4 linked regions of the Anolis sagrei genome follow. The protein of the gene in region 3 purifies or fractionates together with the protein of the main gene of each other region. This does not show direct contact. Links are inferred from orthologs where the notes say so. Each region holds a gene or a part of one and is shown on either strand. Other genes may lie near its edges. The genes, in order: POLR3B, POLR1D, POLR3D and POLR3GL.

Region 1 (7,775 bases), on a different chromosome or scaffold from region 3:
GTCATCTGTAAGCCGCCCCAAGCCCCTTTGGGGAGATGGCATGGGATATAAGAATAAAGTTATTATTATTAGAATTATTTGGAATATAAGAATAAACTTAATCAGCAACTATTTTAACCCAAACAAAAAGCCTGAATTATAATGATGGGTTGAAATTGCTAATAATATTTATGTGAGGAAGCGTTAATGCCACCGCTTGTCTCCAAAATTATGTGAAGAAGTCTTTATCCCACCAAATGGGATTACCAAAAATATAAGGAAGTCCCTAGACTGCTATTAAATTAAACTGCCACCAATAAAATGTAAAGACGCTGGTCTTAAAGTCTCTATTTACTCCTATTTGCGTTGTGAGGTAACTTTGGTAGAGTGGAATACACCGAACATAAAATCAATGGAGGAGGCAGGTTTAAAATAACAAAGAGAACAAGTTTATTATTAACAAAGCGTAATTGTTGTAATATTGAGATGTTGAACTTGGCACATGCTTGTTGGTTACAATATGGCTTGGCTGTGATACATTCAGGCTTTAGATGTTACAATTCTTATAAACTCCTTCTACAGTGAAGTGCTTTATTATTTCAGTGTTCCTAATTGTGAACATTCACACTGTTTGTCCTATACCGGATCAAACCACTGAATCCCCAGTCTTCCACTACTGGCGATCCTAAAACCCCCTCTGTTAGATTCTTTTTACTCAAGCAATCTAACGAGGTTTCCCTTCAGCTACCTTGCTGAAGAAATATTCACAATCACTAAAACTAACTGAATGTACTGGCTCCATAAGCAGAACTGAGTTTTCCCCAAAGCCATGCAGTGGTTCTCAACCTGGGGTCCCCAGATGTTTTTGACCTACAACTCCCAGAAATCCTAACAGCTGGTAAACTAGCTGGGATTTCTGGGAGTTGTAGGCCAAAAACATCTGGGGACCCCAGGTTGAGAACCACAATTAGTGGCACATATAATTCTGGAATGTGCACTGTGGCATCAGAGCTCTCAGGCAGAGAAAGCGAAAAACCTCACAAATCCCAGAAATCTACAGCATTCATATCAGTTAAAAATACTATCAAAGTGCTATAATTGTGCAGTGTGGCTATATTCTTAGAACCATTTATCTGAGGAACAAGTCACACTTAACTTATGACTTCATCACGTTAGAGAAAAAATCCACTTAAAATTCTGCCTCCTGCAGAATTCTGGAGTTTGTAGTGAGGCTGTTAAAGGCCCCTCCCTAAACTACAAACCCCAGAATTCTACAGGAAACGGATTTTAAGTAGATTTTTTTTCTCTAGTGTGATTAGGCCCTCAGTGGGATTTACTCCTGAGTATATACATATTGAGTTGCACTGTGTAGTTGATTTATTGGGAAATAAAAATACCTCTATTGCAGGCCTGGGCAAACTTGGGCCCTCCTGGTGTTTTGGACTTCAACTCCAACAATTCCTAACAGCCTCGGCCCTTTCCTTTCCACCTACCTGCGTGACCGCATTTCCGTATACGAACCCACACGATCCCTTCGTTCATCTGGTGAGGCCCTGCTCACGATCCCACCAGCATCACAAGCGCGATTGGTGGGGACGAGGGACAGGGCCTTCTCGGTGGTGACCCCACGAATCTGGAATTCCCTCCCCAAGGACATCAGTCACTCCCCAACACTGGTAGTCTTCAGAAAGAGCTTGAAAACATGGATGTTCCAGTGTGCTTTCCCAGATTAAGGAATCCCAAGCAATTGTCCCTAATGCACTTTATGAGAGAGTTAGAATTGTCTGCACACCCTTCTATTCCCAAAATATCCATTCTACCTCACCTGGACAGGCCCGAATTTTTAGAATTTTAACTATTACATTTGGCCCTGCCACAGGTTTTTAACAGTGCTGTGCTTTTGTTATTGTTTTATTGCTTGCTTATTTATTGTTGCATTGCATTGTTGTCTGTTGTGTTTTTGTTAATGATGTACTTTGGGCTCGGCCTCTTGTAAGCCGCACCGAGTCCTGCGGGAGATAGTAGCGGGGTACAAATAAAGGTTTATTATTATTATTTCCCCCTTCAGCCACTTAATGAAGGGCCCTGAGGCTGGAAGTTGAAGTCCAAAACACCTGGAGGGCTCAAGTTTTCCCATGCCTGCTCTATTGGCTTCCTCGAAAAAGGACAAGGGGCCATGTGGTGCATCTATACTGTAGAACTAAGGGAGGAGGGAGCAAGCTTGTTTTCTGCTTCCCTGGAGACTAGGACGCGGAACAATGGCTTCAAACTACAAGAGAGGAGATTCCATCTGAACATGAGGAAGAACTTCCTGACAGTGAGAGCCGTTCAGCAGTGGAACTCTCTGCCCCGGAGTGTAGTGGAGGCTCCTTCTTTGGAAGCTTTTAAACAGAGGCTGGATGGCCATCTGTCAGGGGTGATTTGAATGCAATATTCCTGCTTCTTGGCAGGGGGTTGGACTGGATGGCCCATGAGGTCTCTTCCAACTCTTTGATTCTATGATTCTATAATGCAGTTTGACACTACTTTAACTGTTATGTCTCCATGCTATGGAAACACAAACGTTTTCTTGTACACGGTATTTCTTCTGACAAAGAGGGCTGGTGCCTCACCAAACTACAAATCCAATGATCAGTTAAAGTGGTGTCAAGCTGCGTTATTTCTCAAGCATGGCTGCATCCAGGAAAGGAGCACCAGAGGTTGTTGTGGCTCTACTACTGCGCATGCGCACTCTAGGGCTGAGTGAGCAGCCAGGCATGCCTTGACGCTTAGCGCATGCGCACCGTGGACTTCGGAAGCCACATTTACCCCTATCCCTTGGGCAGAGCCGCTTCTTTCTTTCCTTCGGATGCTCTCGCCATTCTCACTCACCTCCACCGTGTTTACAGGAGCCGCCAGCTGCTCCGGAGTGGAGGCTCCCAGCTCTGCCACCAGATCGTCCATGCTGGAGAGAGAAAAACAACCGGCAACAGCCAGAAAGTTGGCGCATGCGTAGTCCCCGCCTTCCACAGAGCTATGCGTGTGCGTCGCTGAAACCTGACCGGAAGTGCAACTGAGGACGTCCAAAAAGGTTCCGCCACGTTTCCTAGAAGCCTTTATTTATTTATTTATTTATTTATTTATTTACTTTGCTTATATACCGCTGTATCTCAAGTCCGAAGGCGACTCACAGCGGTTCACAAACAGTAAAAACAGTAGAAACAGCAGTGGTTCCATACAACATATAACAATTGACTTAACACATTATCCATAAATTACCAATAAGCAATTACAATGCACAATTATTACAAAAAACAACCGTACCCAATCTTCTCATCATCCAAGCGTAGTCCAGGTTCGTCGTCCATTGTTCCATTCCTATGTTCCATTACCAGATTGCACTAAATTACTCAAACGCCTGCACAAACATCCAGGTCTTCAACTTTCTTCGGAATGCCATGAGAGATGGCGCCAGCCTAATGCCTGTAGGAAGGACGTTCCACAGCCGAGGAGCCACCACCGAGAAGGCCCTATCTCTCGTCCCTGCCAACCGTGCTTGAGAAGCCGGCGGGATCGAGAGCAGGGCCTCCCCGGAAGATCTCAAAGTCCTGGTGGGTTCATAGGCCGAGATGCGGTCGGAAAGGTATCTTGGGCCAGAACCGTTTAGGGCTTTATAGGCCAATGCCAACACCTTGAATTGAGCCCGGTAGCAAATCGGCAGCCAATGGAGCTGGCGCAACAGGGGGGTTGTGTGCTCCCTGCGCTCCACTCCGGTTAGAATCATGGCTGCCGCACGTTGGACTAACTGAAGCTTCCAAAACTCTTATTTACAGCTAACTATATTGTTAAAAGAATTTCCTATCCGAATGGTTTCCTTCTGCTCTACCTGAGGGCTTCTTTCTTGACAGTATTTTGAAGAAAGCAGAAATTCCAGACAAGAAACAGTCAGGGCCTCCCAACAAAGGATTCACCCCAGGCAGGAAGCAACCAGGTTTTGAAGCTGCAAGGCCATTCAGTGCTAATCAAGGTGACTAATTTTATTTATTTATTTATTTATTTATTTGGGGTGCTTCTACCCCGCCCTTCTCAACCCCCTAGGGGGGGACTCAGGGCGGCTTACAAAAGGCACAATTCGATGCCCAACAACTCACAAAATACAATATACAAAATTACAATATAACGTCAACAATTATAACTAATTAAAACAATAAAAAACAATACAGTTGCAGCAATAAAATCATCTTGCGGTCAATGTTCGCCAATTCATAAATTCATGATCCGTCTAGCATCGTCATTGTCCTTTCCTACTTTGGTCGTCATTGTATTTTGTCCAACTGCCAGCTTACCCAAAGGCCTGGTCCCACATCCAGGTTTTTAACTTCCTTCTGAAGGAGAAGAGGAATGTTGATGACCTAATCTCCCCAGGGAGTGCATTCCACAGGCGAGGGGCCACCACCGAGAAGGCCCTGTCCCTCATCCCCACCAGTCTCACTTGTGATAAAGGTGGGGCCGAGAGCAGGGCCTCCCCAGAAGATCTTAACCTCCGAGGTGGGACGTAGAAGGAGATATGTTCGGACAGGTACGCTGGGCCGGAGCCATAAAGGGTTTTGTAGGTCAAAACCAGCACTTTGAATTGTGCTCGGAACTGGATTGGCAGCCAGTGGAGCTGAAACAGCAGGGGGGTGGTATGCTCCCTGTATGACGCTCCGGTGAGTAATTGCAACATTCCCACTTGCCTCAAGCAGACGAGAGTTCTTTCTCCCACCCTGGACATGTCACAGACATAAATCCTACTTGCCTAGTTTCCAACAGACCTCACAACCTGTGAGGATGCCTGCCATAGATGTGGTGAAGCGTCAGGAGAGAATACTTCTGGAACATGGTCATACAGCCCAGAAAACTTACAGTAACCCAAAGCAGAAATTATTGCAACAGAGGATAGAAATGTTCTTGGAATTATTTGGATTGGGGAATATCAGTGCAGTTATGTGTAGTTCAAAGTATTGTAATAATTTTTAATTATTTTAAGGGATTTTAATTTTCTGCTTCAATTCTATTTTAATATTTGTATGTTGTAGTTTTTGTTTGTTGTAGTTTATGTAAAGCCGCTTTGAGTCTTCTCAATATAATAACAATAATAAAGTATTTAAAACTCGTGTCTTGTGTTTAATCTCTGTTCTGTGCATTTTAATATGTATTTTATAGAAATATATTTTATTATGTGCATATACAGAATGTTTACAATGTTTTTGTGTTTTAACTATGCTGTAACCTGCCTCTAGGAGCCCCTGGTGGCACAGTGAGCTGCTGAACTTGCTGATGAAAAGGTCACAGATTCAAATCCGGGAAGCGGCATGAGCTCCTGCTATTAGCCCTAACGGCGCTCCATACAGTCATGCTGGCCACATGACATTGGAGGTGTCTATGGACAACACCAGCTCGAGCACCAATCCCCAGAGTCGGACATGAGCTCCTGCTGTTAGCCTCAATAGTGCTCAATGCAGTCATGCCGGCCACATGACCTTGGAGGTATCTACGGACAACATCGGCTCTTCGGCTTAGAAATGGAGATGAGCACCAATCCCCAGTTGGACACAACTAGACTTAATGTCAGGGGAACACCTTTACCTTTAACCTGCCTCTAGCCTCAAGGAGAGGCGGGTAAGAAATAACATTATTATTAATATTGTTATTAATGTTGTCTCAGATAAAAATGGGAAATTATAATAATACAGTAACACCACTTACCAACAATTTGCAGAATTACTTATTGGAATAATAGCCTGTATATTTTCCCCAGTTTTGAGGGAAATCTGACTCTCAGATTTCATTTGTGACTGTGCATTTTTTTGGATTTTTAGTTAGTTATGATTGCAGGCAACTGCTTTTTGCTTTTTTCCTAATTAACTGAGAGTGGGATGAAAAATTAATTTGACAGGTGAATCACTTCCCATTGCTGAATTTCTGTGCCAAAAAAGCTGGACCTGTTTGGAGGAAATATAACCAGCTCCCCACATTTGTTGGGGCTTGCAAGTGAAGTGGAAACTACAGCAGCGTACCATGCGCAGTGAGTCTAGAGCTTATTTAAGAGCAATTAAGGTGGCAGAAAAATCATTTATTGCCACCAACATTACATCCACAAAGACTTGCCCAATAGAACTGTTTCGAATGGTAAGGGGGCTTCTAAACTCTTTCCGGACCAATCGGCAGTTTGTTGTTAAGAGTTTGCTAGGTTCTTTGCAGATAAAGTCACTCTGATCCGCTCTGACTTACACACCAGTATTAATGCAGTCTCCGTGAATATGAATGAGGCATCTGCTTGTCCTTGTTTAATGGATTCTTTTCAGCTTGTTTGGCCCGAGGACATGGACAAGATCTTAGGAGAAATGAGGACAACCACTTCTTTTTTGGACCCTTGCTCCAGCATGAATGGAGGAAATTCATTAAAGTCACACTGGAGCACCTAAATCTTCCTACAAATAACACTTTTAATCACATTTCTGAATAATCAAATATGAAGAAGCCAGAACTGCAAATGTAGAGAGCATGCAGTAGTTTTAAGTGGTGGTTCAAACAGAAAAGGTACCATAATTTGGGGTCTTCTAGAGCACTGCTTCTTAAACATATAGGGTCCCCTTTGCTCAATATTGGGGTCACAAAAATTTGGCAACAATACCACCCATTTACATGAATCTGTTAGCAACAACCTACAGTGTTTACAGTGGACTCTGCAAAAAATGCTTCAGCTGTTCTCCAGCCTGTTTCACAAGCCTTTGGGACAGTGCAATAGGGCAATAATAGGAAACCCACTCCACTAACTGGAGCCATCATGGTGTTCTGAGATGGTTTTTAAGCAACTGATTTTAAAGTAGATATAACTGTTTGTAGTGTTTGTGTATATTTATAGTTATTTTATGTTCCAGCATGGAATGCTTGCCGTGTATACGTTGTGAACTTCCCTGAGTCCCCTTTGGGGTGAGAAGGGTGAAATATAAAGATTTCAAATAAATAAATAAATACTTTAAAAGTCAAACGGAATTTAATTAATACAGATATCAACACAAAAATAAGCCAGTTACATAACAATACCTTGCTTTCATTGAGCCCTGGTAGGGCTAGGGCGAAGGGAATGGAGTTAAACATATTTGGATAATTTCACCACGCAACATGCAAGAGGGACAAATTAATTGTACTGATTAATCTGAACATTGAAAAGATTATGAACATTAGAGGACATGTACAGATTGCTAAATGGACATACCATGCTATATAAAATGCCCTTTTCAAGTCATAGATAAAATCACAAAATTATTGCTTCCTCATAATATTCTTCCTGAAAGTTTTCCAAAACATACTGAATTCAGACTAAGTTGTTTGAAATTTATCACTGTTGAAATCAGTAGGACCCAACTATGACAACTTTGCTTGAATTCAACCAAAGCTAAGAAAAGTTACTTCTTTGGACCAAAATGCCAATAATTCCTTTGCCACCATGCCCAAAACACCTGTGAGATTCTGTGAGTAGTACTCTTTTTTTTAAAAAAAAAAGTTAAGGTGTCTATCCATCTCATAGCTTCTCAGGTAATAAGAAACTGTTGGAAAGTATTTTTTTACTGCACTTCATCTCCCTGCATTCATAGTGTTTTTTAAAAATCAAAGGAATACATACACACACACAACCCCACAACAAAATCATTACAGTTAAGTTTCTCATAGATATTTATAACATCACCCATCCATATCAAGAACCAAAACATTTTAGACAATTCATAGTTTCCTTTTAAATAAAATAACACAATAGCATTCCCCTGTTTGTG
Region 2 (6,891 bases), on a different chromosome or scaffold from region 3:
ATGAACATCACACCACAGAGTCGGACATGACTAGATTTAATGTCAGGGGGAAACCTTTACCTACGCTGTGAGCTACTTTGGGTCCCATTAGGGAGAAAAGCAGGACAAAAATAAAGATATATAATCATCATCATCATCTTCACTACTGAGTTAATGCAGTTTGACACTGCCATGGCTCAATGCGATCACCCCTTCTGAGTCTCCCTTCAGACACATTACTCCATTTATCCATCTCACCCAGGGTTTTATAAATTTTACCCTTTGAATTTGGCCCGTCCACTGTGCGCTAATTTTTCTACCATTTTATTTTGCATTGTTTTATTGCATATTTTGTTATTGTTTTGCATTTTATTTTGTTGTTATTATTTGCTTGTTTGTATTTTATTTTGCTTGATTGTAATTCTTGGGCTTGGCCACTTGTTAGCCACCCTGAGTCCCCTTTGGGGAGATGGTGGCAGGGTATAAATAAAGTTCATTATATTATTATTATTATTATTATTATTATTATTATTATTTGAAACACAACAAGATCACTCTGTCGGCTGTTGTATTGGATCACATGTCGGACACTTCCCAAGTGTCTAGGACTGTGTGATGTATCAGCGAACAATGCGTGCAGATCCCAGTAAGGTGGCCTTCTGCAGCTGGCAGATGGTAATTTTGTCAGCGCCAATAGTATTTAAGCGCAGGCCAGGCAATTATCTCAGGCTCATCTTGTAAGTACAAAGGCGAGAGCCTTCTCCTCTGTGGCCCCCTGACTCTGGAACTCATTGCCCGGTGAGATTAGGAAATTTTCAAGGAGGATCTCAAAACCTGGTTTTTCCAATGCGCTTTTGGAGAGTAGCCATATTATCATACACAGTTGCTTCCCCTCAATGGTTTTTGTCCCCAGAGTATATTTCCACACCTGAATGAAGGTCTATATTTATGACCCTGTTCCTTTACAAGTTTCTCCCCCACGAACAATCTACTCTATCCCTATCTCATCCTGATTTTAGTATTTTTAGTATCAAGTTTTTATCTTGCACATGCGGCCCACTCATTGTTATGTTATTTTATTTTACGGTGTATGATTTTGCTTTATTGTCTTTGAACTCATATGTTGTATGTATTTTACTGTGTTATTATTGTATTTTGGTTTTACTTTATTGTAATATGTTGTTGGGCTTGGCCTCATGTAACCCGCCCCGAGTCCCCAGTTTATTATTGTTATTATTGTTATTGTTATTGTTATTATTATTATTATTATTATTATAAGGTCTTTAGGCACTGCACCCAGTGTGCCGATCACTACTGGGACCACCTTTACTGGCTTGTGCAAGAGTCTTTGCAGTTCGATCTTTAAATCCTCATATAGTTTCTGCTATTCCAGTTGTTTCTCTTCAATCCTGTCACCTGGGATTGCAACATCATCATCATCATCATCATCATATTATTATTATTATTATTATTGTGGTTTTGCATGGTCTTCTTTGCCAAAGAGTTCTTAGGACAGTGGTTCTCAACCTTCCTCATGCCGCGACCCCTTAATACAGTTCCTCATGTGGTGGTGACTCCCAACCATAAAATTATTTTCCTTCCTACTTCATAACTGTCATTTTGCTGCTGTTATGAATCGTCATGTAAATATCTGATACACAGGGTGTATTTTCATTCACTGGACCAAATTTGGCACAAATACCCGATACGCCCATATTTGAAAACTGGTGGGGTTGGGCGGTTGATTTTGTCATTTGGGAGATGTAGTTGCTGGGATTTATAGTTCACTTGCAATAAAAGAGCATTCTGAACTCTACTTGGCACACAGAACTCCCATGACCAACAGAAAATACTGGAAGGGTTTGGTGGGCATTGACCTTGAGTTTTGGAGTTGTAGTTCGTCTACATCCAGAGAGCACTGTGGACTCAAACAATGATGGATCTGGACTAAACTTGGCAAGAATACTCAGTATGCCTAAATGTGAACACTTGTGGACTTCGGAGAAAATAGACCTTGACATTTGGGAGTTGTAGGTGCTGGGATTTATAGTTCACCTACAATCAAAGAGCATTCTGAACTCCACCAATGATGGAATTGATCCAAACTTGGCACACAGAATTCCCGTGACCAACAGAAAATACTGGAAGGATTTTGGTGGGCATTGACTTGAGTTTTGGAGTTGTAGTTTGCCTACATCCAGAGAGCACTGTGGACTCAAACAATGAGGGATCTGGACTAAACTTGGCACGAATACTCAAGATGCTCAGATGTGAATACTGGTGGAATTTGGGGAAAATAGACCTTGATATCTTGGGAGTTGTAGTTGCTGGGATTTATAGTTCACCTGCAATCAAAGAGCATTCTGAAGCCCACCAATGACAGAATTGGGCCAAACTTCCCACATAGAACCACCATGACCAACAGAAAATACTGTGTTTTCTGGTGATCTTTAGTGACCCCTCCAGGGTCCCGACCCCCAGGTTGAGAACCACTGTCTTAGGACCTCAGCAAACTATAACCCCTATGATTCCCTGGCAGTTAAAGAGATGTCAAACCGCACTCATTCTAGATACACCTTCATAGTTGTGTGAATCCCTTCCTCCTGAAACAGCACCTACCATTCGCAAGTGGTCAGACCCTGCTTAGCTTCCAAGACCTGATGGGATAAATATACTGCAATAGTCATAATAATGGGGTGCGGTCCCTTTAAGATACCGAGGCCCTAAAGATCGGGCGACTAAAGGCCGCTGGGAAGCCTCTAGTAGGACCTTCTTGGCGTTCCCAGTCAAGGCCAAATCCCTCGGCTGCCAAGGGAGCAGCAACCGCCAGGCCTGCCCCTTCCTCCGCGCAGGCCTCACCCACCTCTCCAGCTCTGCGTCTTCCGCCATGGCGGCGGTTGCGGGCTGAGGGGTCTCCGTTCACTCTCACTCTCGCTCGCTCGCTCGCTCGCTCTCTCAGGCCGCCGCCATCATGGCTCTCTTTCTCGCTGCTTCCTGCGACGCAGCAGCCAATGGGAGGCGGAGCTCGCGACGAGGCCAAACAGCCGCTCGCGAGGACCCCGGAAAGGGGCGGGGCCTCTTGGCAGAAGAAGCCCCGCCCCCAGCGCTGCCTGCGCCTGAAGTTCCTGTCTGGGCCCACAAGCCTGAATCATAGAATCACAGAGTTGGAAGAGACCTCATGGGCCATCCAGTCCAACCCCCTGCCAAGAAGCAGGAATATTGCATTCAAATCACCCCTGACAAATGGCCATCCAGCCTCTGCTTAAAACCTTCCAAAGAAGGAGCCTCCACCACACTTCCGGGCAGAGAGTTCCACTGCTGAAGGGCTCTCACAGTCAGGAAGTTCTTCCTAATGTTCAGATGGAATCTCCTCTCTTGTAGTTTGAAGCCATTGTTCCATTGCGTCCTAGTCTCCAAGGAAGCAGAAAACAAGCTTGCTCCCTCCTCCCTGTGGCTTCCTCTCACATATTTATACATGGCTATCATATCTCCTCTCAGCCTTCTCTTCTTCAGGCTAAACATGCCCAGTTCCCTAAGCCGCTCCTCATAGGGCTTGTTCTCCAGACCCTTGATCATTTTAGTCGCCCTCCTCTGGACACATTCCAGCTTGTCAATATCTCTCTTGAATTGTGGTGCCCAGAATTGGACACAATATTCCAGATGTGGTCTAACCAAAGCAGAATAGAGGGGTAGCATTACTTCCCTAGATCTAGACACTATGCTCCTATTGATGCAGGCCAAAATCCCATTGGCTTTTTTTGCCGCCACATCACATTGTTGGCTCATGTTTAACTTGTTCTCCACGAGGACTCCAAGATCTTTTTCACACGTACTGCTCTCGAGCCAGGTGTCACCCATTCTGTATCTTTGCATTTCATTTTTTCTGCCAAAGTGGAGTATCTTGCATTTGTCACTGTTGAACTTCATTTTGTTAGTTTTGGCCCATCTCTCTAATCTGTCAAGATCGTTTTGAATTCTGCTCCTGTCCTCTGGACTATTGGCTATCCCTCCCAATTTGGTGTCGTCTTAGAGTCATAGAGTCATCTCCACTGGGAGAGTGACAACAACAACAACGCATTATTATTATTATTATTATTATCGTCATTATTATTATTTATGTGTTGCCTGCCTCACCTCTTGAAGGCAGGTTTCAACATAATTAAAATTCCTATATACCAGGCCTGGGCAAACTTGAGCCCTCCAGGTGTTTTTGAACTTCAACTCCCACCATTCCTCCAACTCCCAACATCTTAACAGCATCCACCCGAACATCCAGTTCACTATGGAAAAAGAAAACGAAGGAAGACTGCCTTTTCTAGATATCCTAGTCATCCGTAAACCAGATCAACAATTGGGTCACACCGTTTACAGAAAACCCAGACACACAGATAGATATCTACATAAAAACTCCAACCATCACCCAAGTCAAAAAAGAAGCACCATTAAAGCCTTGGCAGACCGTGCAAAAAGAATCTGTGAACCCCACCTCCTCCAAGATGAACTGAACCACCTCAACTGGGCTCTCCAGGCCAATGGATACTCCGCCTCAGACATCAGAAGAGCTGCAAGACCAAGAACAAGCCACGAGAGTAAAGATGAAGATCCACCCAGAGGAAAAGTGTTCCTGCCATACATCAAGGGAACCACTGACCGCATAGGGAAGCTGATGAGGAAACACAACATACAGCTGTGGACAAGTCTACATAGGGACCACCAAACGCAGCGCCCAAACAAGAATCCAGGAACATGAAAGGCACTGCAGACTACTCCAACCAGAGAAATCAGCCATAGCAGAGCACCTGATGAACCAACCTGGACACAGCATTTTGAGAACACAAAAATGCTGGACCACTCTCACAACCACCATGTCAGACCACACAGAGAAGCCATTGAAATCCACAAACATGTGGACAATTTCAACAGAAAGGAAGAAACCATGAAAATGAACAAAATCTGGCTACCAGTATTAAAAAATTCTAAAATTGCAACAGCAAAAACAGCAGAGAGAAAAACAGGCAGGGACATCTAATCACCTTTCAAGAAGAGTTTGCTCCAGGCACAGTCAGCCCATTGTATGCTAATCAGGTGGTCAGTTGAAAGATTCACACCTAGCCCAACTTACAAAAGCCCTTTGTCTCACCCTGATCATTCCACAGATATATAAACCCCCTTTTTTCCCAGTTCCAGCAGACCTCACCTCTGAGGATGCTTGCCATAGATGCAGGCGAAACGTCAGGAGAAATGCCTCTACAACATGGCCATATAGCCCGAAAAAACCCACAAGAACTGAGTCCCACCATTCCTATTTGTGATTTGGACATTTTAATTTTTAATTTAATAACAATAATATCAATAACAACAATAATAAAAAACTTTATTTATATTCCAGTCTTTATCCCCGGGGGGACTCAGGGCAGATTCACAAAAGATTTATTTATTTAAACTTTATTTATATGCCGCCCTTCTCACCCCAAAGGGGCTGCAGAGCAGCTTACAAGATATATATACATACAATATATTATTAGCATAGTACAATGTCAGTATTATATATTACTATATTGTACTATGCTATAATATATTGTAATATAATTAGTAATATTACATGTAATATAAATATATAATTATATTATTAGTATTATATTGCAGTTCATTATAATATTATAAATATATGTATATACAATATATTACATTACATTATATTATATTATTAGCATAGCACAGGAGACAAGGTGGAACTGTCCCCTGGCTCCCTCTCTCTTCACTCTGGCCCAGAGCGGCAGTTGGAGCTGGGGGGAGGGGTCCCCAACTGATGAATATGCAGGAGGAGACAAGGTGGAACTGTCCTCTGCCCCCCCCTCCTCACTTTGACCCAGAGTGGCAGCCGGTGCTTGGGCGAGGGGTCCCCAAATGATGACATGCAGGAGACAAGATGGAACTGTCCCCTGGCCCCCTCTCTCCTCACTTTGACCCCGAGCAGCAGTCAGCGCTGGGGGAAGGGGTCCCCAACTGATGACATATGCAGGAGACAAGATGGAAGTCCCCTGCCCCCTCCCCCGCCCCAAGTGTGTTGTCAAAGTGTTGTCAAAGTGTGTTGGCAGTGTGTTGTCAAAGGATTTATTGGCTGGAATCACTGGGTTGTTGTAGGTTTTTCGGGCTGTATGGCCATGTTCTAGAAGCATTCTCTCCTGATGTTTCGCCTGCATCTATGGCAGGCATCTTCAGAGGTTGTGAGGTCTGTTGTAAACTAGGAAAATTGAATTTATATATCTGTAATGTCCAGGGTGGGAGAAAGAATCCCTGGCTGTTGGAGCTAGGTGTGAATGTTTCAATTGGCCACCTTGATTGGCATTTGATGGCCTAACAGGATTTTTTTTAGATGTGACTTGTTATTGCCTGGGGGGAATCCTTTATTGAGAGGTGATTCCTGATTGTTTCTTGTCTGGAGTTCCCCTGTGTTTGTGTGTTGTTCTTTATTTACTGTTATAATTTTAGAGTTTTTTTTTAATACCGGTAGCCATATTTTGTTCATTTTCATGGTTTCTTCCTTTCTGTTGAAATTGTCCACATGCTCGTGGATTTCAATGACTTCTCTGTGTCATTGAACAACTAGGGGTCCAACATTTCTGTGTTCTCAAATAATATGCTATGTCCAGGTTAGATCATCAGGTGCTCTGCTGTGGCTGACTTCTCAGGTCGAATTAGCTTGTAGTGCCTTTCATGTTCCTTGATTTGTGTTTGGGCACTGCATTTCGTGGTCCCTATGTACACTTGTCCACATCTGCATGGTATACGGTAGATTCCTGCAGAGGTGAGAGGATCCCTTTTGTCCTTTGTTGAATGTAGCACTTGTTGGATTTTCTTAGTAGGTCTGTAGATAGTTTGTGTTTTCTCACCAGGTTCCCTATGCGGTCA
Region 3 (7,207 bases):
TGGACTGGATGACCCTTGGTGTTGCTCCTATTATTATTAATATTAGAGATACATAACAAGATTAGTACACGGCGAACAAGATCACTGTGCTGGCTTTTGTATTTGATCCCACATCGAACACTTCCCAAGTTTCTAGGGCTGTGTGATGTATCGGTGAATAATGCATGCAGATCCCAGTAGGGTGGCCTTTTGCAGCTGGCAGATGGCAATTTTGTCAGCGCCGATTGTGTTTAAGTGTAGGCCAAGGTCTTGAGGCGCTGTGCCCAGTGTGCAGATCACCACTGGAACCACCTTGACTGGCTTGTGCTAGAGTTTTGCAGTTTGATCTTTAAATCCTCATATCGTGTCAGCTTTTCCAGCTGCTTCTCGTCAATCCAGCTGTCGCCTGGGATTATTATTATTAAGGTTGGAAGACCCCTGGGGTTGTTCCTATTAGTATTAGTATTATTTGCGTGGCTATCTTTTGGGGGTGCTTTGATTGTGCTTCTTCTGCATGGCAGAAGGCGGTTGGATTGGATGGTCCTTGGGGTTGCTCCTATTATTATTGTTGTTGTTATTGTTGTTGTTATTATTACACAGGCTGGGTGGCCATCTTTTGGGGGTGCTTTGATTGTGCTTCTTCTGCATGGCAGAAGGTGGTTGGACTGGATGGTCCCTGGGGTTGCTCCTATTATTGTTGTTGTTGTTATTGTTATTATTATTATTACACAGGCTGGATGGCCATCTTTTGGGGGTGCTTTGATTGTGCTTCTTTTGCATGGCAGAAGGCGGTTGGACTGGATGGTCCCTGGGGTTGCTCCTATTATTATTGTTGTTGTTGTTGTTATTGTTATTGTTATTATTACACAGGCTGGGTGGCCATCTTTTGGGGGTGCTTTGATTGTGCTTCTTCTGCATGGCAGAAGGTGGTTGTACTGGATGGTCCCTGGGGTTGCTCCTATTATTATTATTATTATTATTATTATTATTATTATTATGACACAGGCTGGGTGATCATGTTTTGGGGATACTTTGATGGTGCTTCTTTTGCATGGCAGAAGGTGGTTGGACTGGATAGTCCCTGGTGTTGCTCCTATTATTATTATTATTATTATTATTATTATTATTACACAGGCTGGGTGGCCATCTTTTGGGGGTGCTTTGATTGTGCTTCTTCTGCGTGGCAGAAGGGGGTTGGTCTGGATGACCCTTGGTGTTGCTCCTATTATTATTAATATTAGAGATACATAACAAGATTAGTACATGGCGAACAAGATCACTGTGCTGGCTTTTGTATTTGATCCCACGTCGAACACTTCCCAAGTTTCTAGGGCTGTGTGATGTATCGGTGAATAATGCATGCAGATCCCAGAAGGGTGGCCTTTTGCAGCTGGCAGATGGCAATTTTGTCAGCGTCGATTGTGTTTAAGTGTAGGCCAAGGTCTTGCGGCGCTGTGCCCAGTGTGCCGATCACCACTGGAACCACCTTGACTGGCTTGTGCTAGAGTTTTGCAGTTTGATCTTTAAATCCTCATATCGTGTCAGCTTTTCCAGCTGCTTCTCGTCAATCCAGCTGTCGCCTGGGATTATTATTATTAAGGTTGGAAGACCCCTGGGGTTGTTCCTATTAGTATTAGTATTATTTGCGTGGCTATCTTTTGGGGGTGCTTTGATTGTGCTTCTTCTGCATGGCAGAAGGCGGTTGGATTGGATGGTCCTTGGGGTTGCTCCTATTATTGTTGTTGTTGTTATTGTTGTTGTTATTATTACACAGGCTGGGTGGCCATCTTTTGGGGGTGCTTTGATTGTGCTTCTTCTGCATGGCAGAAGGGGGTTGGACTGGATGGTCCCTGGGGTTGCTCCTATTATTATTATTGTTGTTGTTGTTATTGTTATTATTACACAGGCTGGGTGGCCATCTTTTGGGGGTGCTTTGATTGTGCTTCTTCTGCATGGCAGAAGGGGGTTGTACTGGATGGTCCCTGGGGTTGCTCCTATTATTGTTGTTGTTGTTGTTGTTGTTGTTGTTGTTATTATTATTACACAGGCTGGGTGGCCATCTTTTGGGGGTGCTTTGATTGTGCTTCTTCTGCATGGCAGAAGGTGGTTGGACTGGATGGTCCCTGGGGTTGCTCCTATTATTATTATTATTATTATTATTATTGTTGTTGTTATTATTATTATTACACAGGCTGGGTGGCCATCTTTTGGGGGTGCTTAGATTGTGCTTCTTTTGCATGGCAGAGGGGGGTTGGACTGGATGGCCCTTGGGGGTCCCCTCCAACTCTTATGATTCTATGAAGTCTCCAAACTTTGGCCCTCCCTCCAGGTGTTTTGGACTCCGACTCCCACAATTCCTAACAGCCGGTAGGCTCTTAGGAATTGTGGGAGTTGGAGTCCAATACACCTGGAGGAGGGCCAAAGTTTGCCAATGCCTGATCTGCACTGTAGAATTAATGCCGTTTGAACCCACTTTAACTGCCAAGGCTCAGTGCTGCTATGGAGTTGTGGGAGTTATAGTTTGGTGAGGCTTCAGCATCTTGGGCAGAGAAGGCCCCAATAAATAATAATAATAATAATAATAATAATAATAATAATAATAATATTAAAAAGCCTTGTCAAATCCCATAGCATTGAGTTGTCTAATAGCATCAATGAAACTGGCGTCAACTCCATTCATTCAACAGTGTCTTCCTTTCTTGGGGTGGTTTGTTTGTTTGTCGTGTCAGAGCAAGCAGTCCATTACATTACATTTCTAACAGAACAAAGCAAACAGACATAATACAAAACTTGTGAGTTTGGTAGTTGGTTAAATGTCCTTTGACCAGTCTCTGTCCCCTTGGAGTGCCTCTGGTGTTGCCGCAAGAAGATCCTCCGTTGTGCATGTGGCAGGGCTCAGGGTGCATTGCAGCAGGTGGTCAGTGGTTTGCTCCTCTCCGCACTTGCATGTCGAGGATTCCACTTTGTGGCCCCATTTCTGAAGGTGGGCTCTGCATCTCGTGGTGCCAGAGCGCAGTCTGTTCAGCGCCTTCCATGTCACCCCGTCTTCTTCTGTGTGCCCAGGGGGGAGTCTCTCATTTGGTATCAGCCATTGGTTGAGGTTCTGGGTTTGAGCCTGCCACTTTTGGACTCTTGCTTGCTGTGGTATTCCAATGAGTGTCTCTGTAGATCTTAAAAAACTATTTCTAGATTTGTTGTTGACGTGCTGGCTGATACCCAAACAGGGGATGAACTGGAGATGTCTCTGCCTTGGTCCTTTCACTATTGGCTGCTCCTTCCCGGCGAATGTCAGGTGGTGCAATACCGGCTAAGCAGTGTAATTTCTCCCGTGGTGTAGGGCGCAGACACCCCATGATAATGCGGCATGTCTCATGAAGAACCACATCCACTGTTTGAGCGTGGTGAGATGTGTTCCACACTGGGCATGCGTACTCAGCAGCAGAGTAGCATCGCGCCAGGGCAGATGTCTTCACTGTGTCTGGTTGTGACCCCCAGGTTGTGCCAGTCAGCTTTCGTATGATATTGTTTCTAGCACCCACTTGTTGCTTGATGTTCAGGCAGTGCTTCTTGTAGGTCAGAGCACGGCCCAGAGTGACTCCCGGGTATTTGGGTGCGCTGCAAGGCTCCCGTGGGATTCCTTCCCAGGTAATCATCCTCAGAGCTCAGGATGTTTGCCCATGCCCGATTTGCACTGTAGAATTAATGCAGTTTGAGCCCACTTTAACTGCCAAGGCTCAGTGCTGCTATGGAGTTGTGGGAGTTATAGTTTGATGAAGCCTCAGCATCTTAGGCAGAGAAGGCCCAAGATAATAATAATAATAATAATAATAATAATAATAATATAAATAAAAAGAAATAATAATAATAATAATAATAATAATAATAATAATAAAGATTTGTCAAACCCCATAGCATTGAGTTGTGCCAATCAATGAAACTGGCATCAACTCCATTCATTCAACAGTGTCTTCCTTTCTTGGGGTGGTGAAAACAAACAAACCCGGAAACATTGCCTTAAACAAACATGGCGGATTCGCAGTTTCCTCCTTCAGAAACATGGGGGAGATGGCAAAGGGGCAGACCATGCCAGGTTTAAAAATGGCGGATAGCCTTAAACAAATATGGCGGATTCGCAGTTTCCTCCTTCGGAAACATGGGGGAGATGGCAAAGGGGCGGACCGTGCCAGGTTCAAAAATGGCGGAGGCCCTGCCGCGCATGCGCACTCCGCGATCTGCACCGTGGCTGTGTGCCGGAGAGAGAGACCTCGAGGGAAGCGGCGCCATTGGAAACGGAGAAAGAAGCCTCGCTCCGTCTCGGGTGGGTCCGGGGAGAAAGTGGGGCGTGCCTGCCTCTGTGGGGAGCGGGCCTAAAAGCCGTGGGAGCCTGGCTTTGCATTTCAGAGGCCTGGAGGCGGTGTGCGGCCTTGCGAGGTGTTTTGGACTTCATCTCCCAGAATTCCTATTCATTGGACGGAGTGGCTGAGGCTTCTGGGAGTTGGAGTCAAAGCGAAAAACATGGCGGCTCAGTGAGTATTTGATACTGGTGGGCCAGCAGAAGGCTGGAGAACATTATGAAGAGGCCCAGGGGCATTGTGTATGGCCAGTCATTAATATAACATAATATAATCTACTAGACGTCCCCTGCCACGCGTTGCTGTGGCCCACATGGGGGTTCATGTGTGGGAGGTTTGGCCCAATTCCATCGTTGGTGGGGTTCAGAATGCTCTGTGATTGTAGGTGAACTATAAATCCCAGCAAGTACAACTCCCAAATGTCAAGATTCTATTTTCCCCAAACTCCACCAGTGTTCACATTTGGGCATATTATTTATTATTTATTTATTTATTTCTTGCATTTATTGACCGCCACTCTCAGCCCTAGGGCGACTCGTGGCGGTGAACAATAACATGGAAAAGACAGTTTACAATAAATCAAACAGTACACAACAATCTACTACTACATAACATATACTTATACTAAAAATCCGCTTCGTCATATCATGGGGACATATCAGTTTCATAGTCGTGATCCATTCCGGTCATCATTTCCAATGAATAGCACTCAATTGAAAGCCCTCTCAAAGAGCCATGTTTTCAGGCTCCTACGGAAGGCCATAAGGGAGGGCGCCTGTCTAACTTCAGCAGGGAGAGCGTTCCACAGCCGGGGGGCCACCACCGAAAAGGCCCGCTCTCTCGTCCCCGCCAGACGTGCCTGTGAGGCAGGTGGGACCAAGAGAAGGGCCTCCCCGGATGATCTCAAGGTCCTCGTGGGCTCGTAGGCCGAGATGCGGTCTGCAAGGTATTTTGGGCCGGAACCGTTTAGGGCTTTGTAGGATAACACCAGCACCTTAAATTGGGCCCGGTAGCAAATCGGCAGCCAGTGGAGCTGGGACAGCAGGGGCGTTGTATGCTCCCTGCGCCCGGCTCCTGTTAGCAACATGGCTGCCGCGCGCTGGACTAGCTGGAGCTTCCGGGCCGTCTTCAAGGGCAGCCCCACGTAGAGAGCGTTGCAGTAGTCGAGGCGGGATGTGACCAAAGCGTGTACCACCGTGGCCAAGTCAGACTTCCCAAGATACGGGCGCAGCTGGCGCACAAGCCTAAGCTGTGCAAATGCTCCCCTGGTCACCGCTGAAACCTGGGGATCCAGGCTCAGCGACGAATCCAGGGTCACACCCAAGCTGCGAACCTGCGCCTTCAAGGGGAGTGCGACCCCGTCCAGCACAGGCTGTAACCCTATACCCTGCTCGGCCTTGCGACTGACCAGGAGTACCTCTGTCTTGTCTGGATTTAATTTCAGTTTGTTCGCCCTCATCCAGACCATTACAGCGGCCAGGCACCGGTTCAGGACTTCGACGGCCTCCTTAGTAGCAGGTGGAAAGGAGTGACAGAGTTGGACGTCATCTGCGTACAGATGACACCGCACCCCGAAACTCCGGATGATCTCACCCAGCGGCTTCATGTAGATGTTAAACAGCATGGGGGACAGGATGGAGCCCTGAGGAACCCCACAGGTCAACGGCTGTGGTGTTGAACAGGAGTCCCCCAATAACACCTTCTGGGTGCGACCCTCCAGAAATGACTGGAGCCACTGCAAAGCAGTGCCCCCAAGACCCATCTCTGCAAGGCGCCCCAGAAGAATACCGTGGTCGACGGTATCGAAGGCCGCTGAGAGGTCCAGGAGCACCAACAGGGACACACTCCCCCTGTCTAGCTCCCGGCGCAGATCATCCACTAAGGCGACCAAGACCGTCTCGGTACCATGTCCCGGTCTGAAACCAGACTGTGCCGGATCCAGATAATCCGTGTCTCTCAAGAATACCTGGAGTTGTGAGGCCACCACGCTTTCCATGACTTTGCCCAAGAAGGGAAGATTGGAAACAGGCCGAAAGTTGTCAAATTTAGTGGGATCCAATGATGGTTTCTTCAACAGCGGCTTTATAACAGCCTGTTTTAGGCTCGCTGGAATCTTGCCTTCCCGAAGGGAGGCATTAACCACCACCGTTACCCACTCGGCCAATCCCCCTCTGGCCTCCTTCAGAAGCCAGGATGGGCAGGGGTCTAGGATGGACGTGGTGGGTCTCATTCCTCCAAGTATCTTGTCCACATCCTCGGGCTTCACAAACTGAAAAGAATCCAACAAAATAGGACAAGCAGGTGCTTGTGTCACATCCACAGAGACTGCATTTAATGTGGCGTCCAGCCCAGAGCGGATCAAAGCGACTTTGTCTGCAAAGAACCGAGCAAATGCTTCACAGCGCGTGGCCGAATTGTCAGGGCTCCCACCTGAGGTAGGGGGAGTTAAAAGACCTCTGACAATCCGAAACAACTCCGCCGGACGGTTTTTTGCAGACGCAATAGTAGCCGCAAAGAAAGTTTTCTTTGCGGCCTTTATTGCCGCGGCATATGCCCTTAGAAAGGACACAAACCGTGTTCGATTTGGCTCGCTTGGGTCTGAGCGCCACACGCTCTCTAGTACCCTCTTCCTTCGCTTCATCGCTGCCAGCTCCTCAGTGAACCAAGGAGCTGGTTTAGCTCGGTTACTCGAGAGAGGACGTTCCGGAGCGATCCTGTCAATTGCCCTGGTCATCTCCCCATTCCAGAGAGCGACCAAGGCCTCGACATGGTCACCTACCGAGGTGGCGGGAAAATCCCCAAGAGCCGTCAGGAATCCATTCGGATCCATAAGCCTCCTGGGGCGGACCATCTTAATGGGTCCTCCACCCTTGCGG
Region 4 (7,460 bases), on a different chromosome or scaffold from region 3:
AAAATATATATACATACAATATATTATATTATTAGCATAGTAAGGTAAAGGTAAAGGTAGTCCCCTGACATTAAGTCCAGTCATGTCTGACTCTAGGAGTTAGTGCTCATCTCCATTTCTAAGCCGAGGAGCCGGCGTTGTCCATAGACACCTCCAAGGTCATGTGGCCAGCATGACCACATGGAGCGCCGTTACCTTCCCGCCAGAGCAGTACCTATTGATCTACTCACATCTGCATGTTTTCGAACTGCTAGGTTGGCAGGAGCTAGGGCTGACAGGGGAAGCTCACGGCGCTCCCCGGAATCGAACCTGTGACCTTTCGGTCAACAAGCTCAGAAGCTCAGCAGTTTAACCCACTGTGCCACCGGGGGGCCTTATAAACATAATAATAATAATAATAATAATAATAACATGATGTCTGGATGTCATCGGGGTTTGTGAAAATATTATATACATAATAATAATAATAATAATAATGAAATTACATATTTAAATTAAATTCAGACTGCATTAATTTATATAATAATAATAATAATAATAATAGGTAATAGAATAAGTAATATAATAATATATTTACAATAATATAATAAATATATAGAATATATAATAATATGTAATATATAAGTAATAGAAGAAATAATATAATAATGTAATACTAATGTAATGATAAATATATCTAATATATAATAGAAATTGCAAACGCATTTCATTGAATGCATTTTTAATATTTGAGTAATATAGCAAAGTAATATTATTTACCCTTTAATTTAAACATTTAACTCCTTAATATTTAGGAAACATTGCAAAATAGAACTTCATTATTTAATTTAACATTTAATTCCATGCATTTAAAACTAATAATAATAATATTGCAAAAATAAGGTCGGTTTGATTTCCTTTGCAGCAAAAAGAAAACTCACGTTACCTAAATATTATGAATAATCAAATATTTTTTGCAATGTGTTGTCGAAGGCTTTCAAATCAAACCGATCTTATTTTTTGCAATATTTCCTAAATATTATGAATAATCAAATATTTTTTGCAATATTTCCTAAATATTATGAATAATTAAATATTTTTTGCAATGTTTCCTAAATATTATTAATAATTTAACTCCTTAATACTTAGGAAACATTGCAAAATAAAACTTCATTATTTAATTTAACATTTAATTACTCAAATATTTCAGAATGCATTAAAATCAATTGCAAATGCATTTAATTGAATGCATTTTTAATATTTGAATAATATAATTTTATAATATAATTTATATATAATATATATAATGTATTGTCGAAGGCTTTCATGGCTGGAATCACTAGGTTCTTGTGGGTTTTTTTCGGGCTATAGGGCCATGTTCTAGAGGCATTTCTCCTGACGTTTCGCCTGCATCTATGGCAAGCATCCTCAGAGGTAGTGAGGTCTGTTGGAAGTAGGAAAAATGGGTTTATATATATCTGTGGAATGGCTGGGGTGGGGCAAGGAGCTCTTCCCTGCTGCAGTTAGGTGTGAATGTTTAGCTGATCACCTTCATTAGCATTTGAAGGCCTGCCTGAGCCTGGGAAAATCTCTTGGTGGGAGGTGTTAATCTGTGCCTGGTTTTTTTCCTCTCTGTTGTTTAGCTGTTATAATTTTAGAGTTTTTTAATACTGGTAGCCAGATTTTGTTCATTTTCATGGTCTCTTCCTTTCTGTTGAAATTGTCCACATGCTTGTGGATTTCAATGGCTTCTCTGTGTAGTCTGACATGGTGGTTGTGAGAGTGGTCCAGCATTTCTGTGTTCTCCAATAATCTGCTGTGTCCAGGCTGGTTCATCAGGTGCTCTGCTATGGCTGACTTCTCTGGTTGAAGGAGTCTGCAGTGCCTTCCATGTTCCTTGATGCGTGTCTGGGCAATGCTGCGTTTGGGGGTCCCTCTGGAGACTTCTTGTCCACAGCTGCATGGGATACAATGGTAGACTCCTGCAGAGGTGAGAGGATCCCTCTTGTCCTTTGCTGAACGTAGCATTTGTTGGATTTTCTTGGTGGGTTTGTAGATTGTTTGTATGTTGTGTTTCCTCATCAGCTTCCCTCTGCGGTCAGTGGTTCCCTTGATGTCTGGCAGGAACACTTTTCCTCTGGGTGGATCTTGGTCTTGACTCTCGTGGCTTCTTCTCAGTGGTCTTGCAGCTCTTCTGATGTCTGAGGTGGCGTCTCCATTGGCCTGGAGAGCCCAGTTGAGGTGGTTCAGTCCATCTTGGAGGAGGTGGGCTTCGCAGATTCTTTTTGCACGGTCTGCCAAGGCTTTCATGGTGCTTCTTTTTTGACTTGGGTGATGGTTGGAGTTTTGATGTAGATATCTATCTGTGTGTGTGGGTTTTCTGTAGACGGTGTCACACCTAGCTCTAGCAAGGAAGAGCTCCTTGCCCCACCCCAGCCATTCCACAGATATATAAACCCATTGTCCTAATTCCAACAGACCTCACACCTCTGAGGATGCTTGCCATAGATGCAGGCGAAACGTCAGGAGAAATGCCTCTAGGACATGGCCCTATAGCCCGAAAAAAACCCACAAGAACCTAATATATATAATATTATTTAATATTATTTATCATTTATTATTTAATATTATTTATCATTTATTATTTAATATTATTTATCCTTTAATTTAAATATTTAACTCCTTAATATTTAGGAAAACATTGCAAAATAAGACTTCATTATTTAATTCAACATTTATTTCCCATGCATTTAACAATAATAATAATAATAATAATAATGCAAAAATAAGGTCGGTTTGCTTTCCTTTGCAGCAAAAGAAAACTCACGTGACCCGGAAGGAGCGGCTGAAGAGGCTTGCCCGGGGAACGTTCGAAATGGGCGGGGACTTCTTTCCAGGCGGCCAATGGGAGCGGAGATCCAGGGAAGGGGCGTGGCCGGGGCTTTCTCTTGTGAATGAAGAGTGGGCGGGGCTTCGGCCTGCCTTTGCCAGCAGTGGGAAGAGGCCTCTTTCCACGCATGCGCAGAATTGATTCCTGGGTTTCTCTTTGTAATAAGTCACTTTGTTTCCTATTTATATTTTTAAATGATATACTATAAATAAACAAATAATATCTGTTCAAATAAATAAAAATAATAGATAATAATCTATCCCTAATCATAATAATATATTAATAATAATATATTATTAATAATATATAATAATATATTATATTATTATATATTATATTATTAGAATACTTAATAATATATTATATTATTATATATTATATTATTAGAATACTTAATAATAGATCATAATAATTTATTATTATATATTAACAAATAATATCCAAATAAATAAAATAATAGATCATAATAATGTATCCCAAATCATAATAATATACTATTGATAATATATAATATTATTGATAATATATGATAATATATTATAATAATATATTATTATAATACATAATAATATATAATAATTATTATTACATATTATTATATATTATAATAATATATTATTATATATTAATAATACTAATATATTGCAATAATTACAATATATTTAAAACCAAAATAATTGAATATAAAATGTTAAAAATCTGCCCCAAATACTAATAATAATGAATATATTAATCATAGAATCCTAGAATCAAAGAGTTGGAAGAGACCTCCTGGGCCATCCAGTCCAACCCCATTCTGCCAAGAAGCAGGAATATTGCATTCAAATCACCCCTGACAGATGGCCATCCAGCCTCTGCTTAAAAGCTTCCAAAGAAGGAGCCTCCACCACACTCCGGGGCAGAGAGTTCCACTGCTGAACGGCTCTCACAGTCAGGAAGTTCTTCCTCATGTTCAGATGGAATCTCCTCTCTTGTAGTTTGAAGCCATTGTTCCATTGCGTCCTAGTCTCCAGGGAAGCAGAAAACAAGCTTGCTCCCTCCTCCCTGTGGCTTCCTCTCACATATTTATACATGGCTCTCATCATCTCTCCTCTCAGCCTTCTCTTCTTCAGGCTAAACATGCCCAGCTCCTTAAGCCGCTCCTCATAGGGCTTGTTCTCCAGACCCTTGATCATTTTAGTCGCTCTTCTCTGGACACATTCCAGCTTGTCAATATCTCTCTTGAATTGTGGTGCCCAGAATTGGACACAATATTCCAGATGTGGTCTAACCAAAGCAGAATAGAGGGGTAGCATTACTTCCTTAGATCTAGACACTATGCTCCTATTGATGCAGGCCAAAATCCCATTGGCTTTTTTTGCCGCCACATCACATTCCTGGCTCATGTTTAACTTGTTGTCCACGAGGACTCCAAGATCTTTTTCACACGTACTGCTCTCGAGCCAGGACTCATTGTCCCCCATTCTGTATCTTTGCATTTCGTTTTTTCTGCCAAAGTGGAGTATCTTGCATTTGTCGCTGTTGAACTTCATTTTGTTAGTTTTGGCCATTCATCTCTCTAATCTGTCAAGATCGTTTTGAATCCTGCTCCTGTCCTCTGGACTATTGGCTCTCCCTCCCAATTTCGTGTCGTCTACAAACTTGATGATCCTGCCTTCTAGCCCTTCATCTAAGTCATGAATGAAGATCCTGAGCAGGACCGGGCCCAGGACGGAACCCTGCGGCACTCCACTTGTCACTTCTTTCCAAGATGAAGAGGAAGCATTAGTGAGCACTCTCTGTGTTCGTCCACTTAACCAATTACTGATCCACCTCACCGTAGTTTTGCCTAGCTCACATTGGACTAGTTTCCTTGCCAGAAGGTAATACAGTAATAATAATAATAGAGTTCGCCTGTGACACCCGTTGGAATTGGTAGAAAATAATAATAATAATAATAATAATAATAATAATAATAATAATAATACATGGGGAGTGTGTCCCTGTTGGTTCTGCTGGACCTCTCAGCGGCCGTCAATCGTGGTATCCTTCTGGGACGCCTCAAGGAGATGGGTCTTGGAGGGACTGTTCTTCAGTGGCTCCGGTCCTTCCTCGAGGGTCGATCTCAGAAGGTGTTATTGGGGGACACCTGTTCAACCCCACAACCATTGTCTTGTGGGGTTCCTCAGGGTTCAATACTGTCTCCCATGTTGTTTAACATCTACATGAAGTTGGGGGAGATCATCTGGAGTTTCGGGGTGTGGTGTCATCTGTATGCGGATGATGTCCAATTCTGTCACTCCTTCCCACCTGCTACTAAGGAGGCTGTCCAGGTCCTGAACTGGTGCTTGGCCGCTGTGACGGTCTGGATAAGAGCGAACAAGTTGAAACTGGATCCAGACAAGACAGAGGTCCTCCTGGTCAGTTGCAAGGGCGAACAGGGCATTCCTAGAGAGGTCATAAGTGTATAGAGCAAATGGACGCAGCGTCATGGAAAGCTAGAGGTGTGGACTAGTACTGATAACAGCAGTTCGTGTGTTCGCAAAAGAGGTGTGGACTAGTACTGATAACAGCAGTTCGTGTGCTCACAATGTTACGATCGGATGGTGAGAAGCAAGTTTTACGATGTGCTGACTGTTAAGTAGCTTCTAATGTATACAGCTGTAAAAATAAAGTAGTTTATAGCCTAAGGTGGCCGTGATTGATCGTGTTCCTGCCTTCCTGTGCGCCCGATTTCACTGACAGACTTGGGGGGGGGGGGTGATCCTGGACTCATCGCTGAGCCTGGAACCCCAAGTTTCGGCAGTGCCTGGGAGAGCATTCGCACAATTAAAACTTGCAACCGTACCTTGGGTAGTCTGACTTGGCCACAGTAGTCCGCACTCTGGTTACATCCCGTTTAGACTACTGCAACACGCTCTACATGGGGCTGCCTTTGAAGACTGTTCGGAAGCTCCAAATGGGCCAACGGGCGTCAACCAGGTTACAACCAGGAGCAGCACTCAGGGAACACACAACCTCTCTGTTGCACAAGCTCCACTGGCTGCTGGTGTGTTACTGGGCACAATTCAAAGTGCTGGCTTTAGATACACACACATACACATCTGCCTTATTATTATTATTATTTGAAACACAACAAGATGAGTCGACAGCAGACACTCTGCTGGCTGTTGAATTGGATCCCACGTCGGACACTTCCCAATTATTATTATTATTATTGAACTGAGTATTGGGATATTATTATGGGATGTTTCCTCCCATTGCAAAGCCTGATTTATTCCCTTCATCTTGCAATACACACACACAAACACACACACACACATCTGCCTTATTATTATTATTATTATTATTATTATTATTATTATTATTCTGAGTATTGGGATATTATTATTATGGGATGTTTCCTCCCATTGCAAAGCCTGATTTATTCCCTTTATCTTGCAATATATATATACACACACACAAATACATACACACATACACATCTGCCTTATTATTATTATTATTATTATTATTATTATTATTATTATTATTGAACTGAGTATTGGGATATTATTATGGGATGTTTCCTCCCATTGCAAAACCTGATTTATTCCCTTCTTCTTGCAATATATATATATATATATATATATATATATACATACACACACACATACACACTTGCCTTATTATTATTATTATTATTATTATTATTATTGAACTGAATATTGGGATATTATTATGGGATGTTTCCTCCCATTGCAAAGCCTGATTTATTCCCTTCATCTTGCAATACACACACACAAACACACACACACACACACACACACACATCTGCCTTATTATTATTATTATTATTATTATTATTATTATTATTATTCTGAGTATTGGGATATTATTATTATGGGATGTTTCCTCCCATTGCAAAGCCTGATTTATTCCCTTTATCTTGCAATATATATATACACACACACAAATACATACACACATACACATCTGCCTTATTATTATTATTATTATTATTATTATTATTATTATTGAACTGAGTATTGGGATATTATTATGGGATGTTTCCTCCCATTGCAAAACCTGATTTATTCCCTTCTTCTTGCAATATATATATATATATATATATATATATATATATATATACATACACACACACATACACACTTGCCTTATTATTATTATTATTATTATTATTATTATTATTGAACTGAATATTGGGATATTATTATGGGATGTTTCCTCCCATTGCAAAGCCTGATTTATTCCCTTCTTCTTGCAATACACACACACACACACACACACACACACACATACACACCTGCCTTATTATTATTATTATTATTATTATTACTGAACTGAGTATTGGGATATTATTTTGGGATGTTTCCTCCCATTGCAAAGCCTGGTTTATTCCCTTCATCTTGCAATATATATAGACATACACACATACACACACACACACAAATCTTGCATCTTGGGAAGTGTATTAGTAGTAACATTAAATTGGATGTAAAAAAAATAATTTAATAAAATAATAAAATATTATTATTTAATAGTTCGTATCATTTAAAAAAAAACCTGAAAATAATACACATTTAATAATAATAATAATAATAATAATAAT

Evidence for each region.
Region 1: the proteins of POLR3D (region 3) and POLR3B purify together in Homo sapiens (affinity purification with mass spectrometry; 8 studies listed by BioGRID and IntAct, counting the BioPlex papers as one, with this or other methods). This does not show direct contact. The link is inferred for Anolis sagrei from reciprocal best matches to the Homo sapiens genes POLR3D and POLR3B.
Region 2: the proteins of POLR3D (region 3) and POLR1D purify together in Homo sapiens (affinity purification with mass spectrometry; 6 studies listed by BioGRID and IntAct, counting the BioPlex papers as one, with this or other methods). This does not show direct contact. The link is inferred for Anolis sagrei from reciprocal best matches to the Homo sapiens genes POLR3D and POLR1D.
Region 4: the proteins of POLR3D (region 3) and POLR3GL purify together in Homo sapiens (co-immunoprecipitation; 4 studies listed by BioGRID and IntAct, counting the BioPlex papers as one, with this or other methods). This does not show direct contact. The link is inferred for Anolis sagrei from reciprocal best matches to the Homo sapiens genes POLR3D and POLR3GL.

The regions. Positions count from the first base shown.
Region 1 is NC_090025.1:169,715,443-169,723,217, forward strand, and holds the start of POLR3B (DNA-directed RNA polymerase III subunit RPC2), read right to left. Parts: upstream 3,004-7,775; 5' UTR 2,923-3,003; coding exon 2,851-2,922; intron 1-2,850. UniProt on the Homo sapiens protein: Catalytic core component of RNA polymerase III (Pol III), a DNA-dependent RNA polymerase which synthesizes small non-coding RNAs using the four ribonucleoside triphosphates as substrates.
Region 2 is NC_090023.1:31,194,193-31,201,083, reverse strand, and holds the start of POLR1D (protein POLR1D), read right to left. Parts: upstream 3,026-6,891; 5' UTR 2,869-3,025; coding exon 2,843-2,868; intron 1-2,842.
Region 3 is NC_090027.1:1,456,594-1,463,800, reverse strand, and holds the start of POLR3D (DNA-directed RNA polymerase III subunit RPC4), read left to right. Parts: upstream 1-4,185; 5' UTR 4,186-4,297; intron 4,298-4,342; exon of another isoform or gene 4,343-4,582; intron 4,583-7,207. UniProt on the Homo sapiens protein: DNA-dependent RNA polymerase catalyzes the transcription of DNA into RNA using the four ribonucleoside triphosphates as substrates.
Region 4 is NC_090032.1:21,351,625-21,359,084, forward strand, and holds the start of POLR3GL (DNA-directed RNA polymerase III subunit RPC7-like), read right to left. Parts: upstream 3,013-7,460; 5' UTR 2,999-3,012; coding exon 2,807-2,998; intron 1-2,806. UniProt on the Homo sapiens protein: DNA-dependent RNA polymerase catalyzes the transcription of DNA into RNA using the four ribonucleoside triphosphates as substrates. Specific peripheric component of RNA polymerase III which synthesizes small RNAs, such as 5S rRNA and tRNAs.